2 linked regions of the Mus musculus genome follow. The protein of the gene in region 2 interacts with the protein of the main gene of each other region in a biochemical or structural test. Links are inferred from orthologs where the notes say so. Each region holds a gene or a part of one and is shown on either strand. Other genes may lie near its edges.

The links.
Region 1: the proteins of Wbp11 (region 2) and Pqbp1 form a complex in vitro, tested with the Homo sapiens proteins (2 studies listed by BioGRID and IntAct, with this or other methods). The link is inferred for Mus musculus from reciprocal best matches to the Homo sapiens genes WBP11 and PQBP1.

The regions. Positions count from the first base shown.
Region 1 is NC_000086.7:7,894,004-7,896,206, forward strand, and holds the end of Pqbp1 (polyglutamine-binding protein 1), read right to left. Parts: intron 2,103-2,203; coding exon 1,990-2,102; intron 1,880-1,989; coding exon 1,601-1,879; intron 1,226-1,600; coding exon 1,162-1,225; intron 865-1,161; coding exon 708-864; 3' UTR 516-707; downstream 1-515. Other genes in the region: Slc35a2 (UDP-galactose translocator), read left to right, coding at 188-215. UniProt on the Homo sapiens protein: Intrinsically disordered protein that acts as a scaffold, and which is involved in different processes, such as pre-mRNA splicing, transcription regulation, innate immunity and neuron development.
Region 2 is NC_000072.6:136,818,197-136,821,717, forward strand, and holds part of Wbp11 (WW domain-binding protein 11), read right to left. Parts: intron 3,467-3,521; coding exon 3,333-3,466; intron 3,181-3,332; coding exon 2,981-3,180; intron 2,503-2,980; coding exon 2,311-2,502; intron 1-2,310. UniProt on the Homo sapiens protein: Activates pre-mRNA splicing. May inhibit PP1 phosphatase activity.

The DNA.
Region 1 (2,203 bases), on a different chromosome or scaffold from region 2:
AAATAAAGATGATGTATTTATTTAGTCCATGTGTAGCTTTCTGACCCAGGGGCCTGCTCTTTCCACATAAGCACCATTACTAACTCCAAGATTAGTAGCTTACTACCAGCCTCGCTTGCTTAGGAAACCCACCCACCGGCCCACCCCAGCTTTCTGTGTTTCTCTTTCCTTCCCATTTTCACCACAGGTTGCTCACCAAGGTGAAGGGGTCGTAGCTGCTGGACTTGAAGATGCTGGCCTGTCTTCGTTCTCCCTTCTTGCCCTGGCCCAACTGGGACTAAACTCTTATCAGTATTAGGGGTAGGGTGAGGTAGACACGGGAACTCCCTGTCCTTACCAACCCCTGCCCCACATAGGGCTGACATGACTAACCTCTGTTAATGGGCCCACCTCTACTCCTGCTATCTTTACAGTATTTCTTAGGTGAGTTTCTGCAAATAAAATGTTTTGCACCTTGTGAAGTTGGGTTGGAAAGCCTGGAAAGGATGAGGAAAGGAAGCACTCAAGCCTCATGGATATGTTCCACAAAAAAAGCTTTTATTAAACAACAAGGGCTTGTTGTTTACAAACAACACTAAAGGGGCCGGGAGTGTAGCTCACTGGTGGAATAATAATGCAGCACATAGAAGCCATGGCTCCTGTCCCAGAGCCACAAGGAAGAAACACAGAAACGCAAACTGCCAAAGCTACAGGGAACAAGGGGTCAGTCAGTCCTGCTGTTTGGTTCGGGAGGCTTCTGCATTGGCGCGGAGCACAGCGCCCGGGGAAGGGTAAGGGCGCTGCTGGAAGAGGGGCCCAGCTGCCGTGGTGTCAGCACCTGTCTTGGCCTCGTTCCTCTTGGGGAGTCCTGTTGACCATGTGCCCCTGGGGACAAGAGAGAATTAGAGTACAGGAAGAGGGTGGAGTGGCCAGGTGTTGGTGGCGCACGCCTTTAATCCCAGCACTCAGGAGGCAGAGGCAGGTGGATTTCTGAGTTCGAGGCCAGCCTGGTCTTCAGAGTGAGTTCCAGGACAGCCAGGGCTATACAGAGAAACCCTATCTCGAAAAAACAAAAAACAAAAAAACAAAAAAAAAGAGGGTGGAGTGGGCCTCCCTTAATTGCCCAAGATTAAAGCATGGTGGCAATCCTGAACAAAAAAGACTGCCAAAGGCTTCACTTACCGGGGTGCATCTGAGTATGAGCTGGGGTCCATGGGGTCTAATTCTTCATCTTTGCGGCTCGTCGCTATAGAAATAAATAGCAGGATAAGTTCTTTACTTGAGACCAAGGAGCCCCTCCTCACAGGAAAAAGTAATACCAGTGATTCACATGGCCCACAGCACCCTTCAGAAGACTAGGCATGAACTAGACATTCTGTGCCCTGGTACCTCATTTGACTCATGTAAGTCCCAAACTCATGTGCTTACCTTTCTTTCTTTCTCTTTATTTTTTTTTTTTTTTTTTTTTTTTGGTTTCTGAGACAGGGTTTCTCTGTGTAGCCCTGGCTGTCCTGGAACTCACTCTGTAGACCAGGCTGGCCTCGAACTCAGAAATCCACCTCCCTCTGCCTCCCAAGAGCTGGGATTAAAGGCATGCACCACCTCGTCCGGCTGTGCTTACCTTTCTTGTTCTTGGGGTAAGGAGCCAGTTCCTCTCTGCGATGGTGGCGTCGGTCTTTGCCCTCTTCCCGGTCTGCCTTGTCAAATGCCCGCTCTCGTTCCCTGTCCCGATCTCTCTCTCTATCCACTTTGTCGTAGTTGCGCTCTCGTTCTCTGTCATTCTTCTCGTGGTTTCGGTCTGCCTTCTCGTGGCTCCTGTCTGGCTTCTCATGACTACGATCTGACTTCTCATGATTTCTGTCCACCTTTTCAAGATTCCGGTCCGACTTGTCCTCAGCATCTATGGTAACACACAAATCCTGAAGCCTCTCTCTTACACATATGGTCTCTCTTCAGCCTCTCTCCGAGACTGCAAGAATCACTAAAGCATCCCTGCATCTGCCAACTCACCTGCATTATTGTTCCTGACTTTCTTGGCGGATTTGGTAACGACAAAGTTAGGATCATGTGGTGAGAGCCACGACACAAGGTCTGTCTCCACATTCCAATAGTAAGGGAGTCCGCTGTGGGCAGTGAGAGGGAGGGAGTGTCAGCTCAGATGTCCCTTATACCACCTGTCACCTCAACCTGCGTCCAGATCTGCTTCATGGTCCCACATGCACAT
Region 2 (3,521 bases):
CTTATGAAATATACTGCATTAACTTAAAACTTAATGTTCAGAAAATGTTAGGATACTTAAGAAGTATATAAACTGAATTAGATAATTCAATTTTAAGCCCTAAACATAAAAGCTGAAACGGTAAAGATGTATCTTAAAGCAACAATTTTCTTTAGCAATTCAGCAAAACAGTAAGTCACAGAAAAGATGAAAGCTGACCAACTCAGGAAACCAGCATACCCTATTAACCAACATAAAATATAACACAACTGAGTCTGACAGTGCTGGGTAAGGAAAATCGATCATAGCATGCAGGGTGCACCAAAAGTACCCAATGGTTTACACTAGAAAATTAGTAATCTAATCATGACAAAAGGCCCCATAAAAGGTGGGAAAATCTTAGTAATACTCTAACAGGTGATTAAAGATTATGATCGGTCCCCAACACCACTTCCACTACAGAATCTTTCAGTAACCCTGACAGATACTGCACTTCTGATCTGGTGTCTGACATCTTAGCCAACACTTAAGGAAGGGAATATTTATTTCTATGTGGGTTCAGCTTTAGTGTATCTTGGACTTTTACTGCCCAGAAAAATGCCTGGCTATGGTAAAGGCAGTAGCAGATGAGAGGACGTGCAGCTGGGCCAGCCATCTGAGGTCCACACACACTGGGGAACACAACGTTCAGTAGGAAGCAGCAGGTGGACTTCAGTCAGTTCAAGGCCAGTCAGTAAGTCCTGTGCTAGCCAAGGCTACACAGAAGACCCTGTCCCAGCGCCACCCCCCAGGACCTCAGCAGCAGCTGGCAGCCGCAGAGTAGAGAGAGGATGCAGTCTTACAGGGGAGTCCTGCACTTGGAGTTCTACCCCACTCTCCTTTCTAAGACCAGTTCCAACTTATGAGTCTTCTATAATTTTCCAAGATCAGGCTTGCTCCTACACCAATTTATGATAGTTTTTTGATAAGCTTTTCTTTCATTCGTAATCATGATTAAGGAGCACTAATGCATTCCAGAGGGCTCTGGACAACCCAGCTCTGAGGGATCTAGTGCCGTGTAGTCTCCAAGGCACACGCAAGTGTAGGAGGCACACAGACACACACAATTAAAAAAAAAAGAGAGTCACTTGCTGATCTTATAAATAAAACCACAGTATACAGATGCCGTCCTGGAGACTACAGCTACAGCCCCTAAGAAGCTCCCCGGCTACTAGGCTCTGACACACTCAGTGTGTGCTTGGCACTGCTTAGTACCCAAACACAGTGCTTAAAATTTTTGTGACAAAACGTAACATACAGTGTGCACACAATTGAGGACACAGCAGAACTGAATATATTTAATATACATCAAGTCTTAGGCTTACTCCCCAGCACTACACACACACACACACACACACACACACACATCTTTCTGAACGGTGCTTCACAGCTGACCCTTGGAGAACGGTTTGTTTACATGCAGGCCAAGTGCGCTACACAGGTGCTTTCCCAACCAGTGACCAGCTTTGAAGGAACAGGCGTATGGTTCTAAATACAAATACAGTGCAGACATATAGAAAAATACACTTTTATACATATACATAGTATATAATTATACATGTTAATGTAATGTGTGTATAGACACATATATGTATATAAAATATTTAATATATAATATACACACACATATATTATATATAAAATTACAAGTATATATGAATTACAAAGGTCACCCAGTTTATGAAAGGCCCCATGAAGAACAGAAAACCCAGCTCCCAGTGTAGACACGCACACAAGCTTATTTAAAACCATGCATGTTCTTCCTTTCCTACTGCACGTTCATCATAGAGTATATTAGCAATTTTTGCCTCAAAGTGGAATTTCTTGCATAACTTTTAAAAAACTACATATACTTACTCTTTCCTCACAAACACCTGTAAGAATAATATGTCAAAACCTTTCAAACTATCAAGACAAATAAATGGCCAGGTACGGTGGCTTATATTTATTTCTAACTCCACAACTTGGGAGGCTGAAGCAGGAGGGTCACCATGAGCTCGAGGCCAGCCTAATTAACAGTGATAGACACCCGTCTCAAAACCAAGCCAAACCAAACTGGAGCTAAAAGCTGGTCCTGAACTGGTGAGCTGGCTCACCAAACCTAATCACCCAAGCTGCATCCCCACCCCCTGTGCAGTGGATCGGGAAAACCAACTGGGACTGCCACATAGATGCTCTAGCACGCATGTACACTCGGGCGCGCACACACTGAACCTAATTAACAAAAGCCAGGGCTTTCAGCACCGGGGTCAGCGGTGTTCATCTACGCCCGGCACATTAACCCGCACACACCTGACTTCTTCTCCTCAGTGTTGTCGCGCTCACTGTCCTCGCGGTGCCCGAACTCATCCCCGTCACTCTCTGCATCTGACCTGTCAGTGTCACTGTCCTCAGTACTGTCATCATGCTTATCCTGATCCATGTCCTCAGGATAGCCGTCGTCTTCACTGGTGCTGGACATGTCATCGTCATGACCCCGCTGAGCTGATGACAGAAAGAGCACGAGAGTCACATGACACGGTTGGCCCTCTGGTATCCAAAAATAGGCATGCCATTTTGGCTCAACATTACTTGCAAAACATTTCTATATGCAATGCCAGCTACCATGTATTATGATGACATTTGCGTTGGGTAATAGTTTTAAATACTTTTTTGTTTTCTTGTAAGAAGTGCAAACACACTGTATTAGAAACAATTGTGTAAAGTCTCACACACAGTCAGTGACTCTTGTCAGCGCTGATGAAACTGAGAAGACCTCTTCCTGTCTTATGGGAACTGCAGCAACATTCTATCTAAGGTGCTTTCATCAGGCAGATGTGCTAAATTATCCACAGGGACACACAGCAGAAGAGCACAGCATCCTCATGGCGTTCCTGTGTTCTCCGTGTAGCAAACGTTAACTATGGTCAGCATGGAAGCAATACTGAGAAGGGCACGGGAGGAAACCCCTGCCCCTGCCTACCAAGCTCTGGACTATACAGCATGTCCTCATCTCGCCTCCGAGGGGGAAGATCTAGAGCGAAGCCCACTTTCCGGCCGTACATCTGCAGAACCTGAGGAGGAGGGGGGCCAGGTGGAGGGCCGGGCGGTTTTCTGCCAGGGGGCAAGCGGGGAACACCATGTCCCAGGAGAGGAAGGATAGACACGGCCCGAGCTGGAGGCCTGTGGAGGGGGAGAAGGACAGTGGCGCTGAGTGGCAGGAACCTTCTCCAGGCTCTCATGTCCCGTCCGCTCAGCCACAGCACCCCGTGCTGCTGCTGTGCTAGCCGGGCCTGCTCCTGCAGTCCACCCTCCATTATGTAAGGCTTCCTTACCCATACGCTGAGGTTTTCTTCAGGATGGAGGGGGGCTGTGCACCAGGAAGAGGAATGTCCTGGATCAAGATGTTGGAAGGAGCATGCGGCATGTCTGGCAAAGGGATGCTCTCTACTTCCACATGCTGAGCATTCTGAAACATACAGAAACCCAGTTGTATGGTGCTGAGCCATTCAACTCCTAGGACC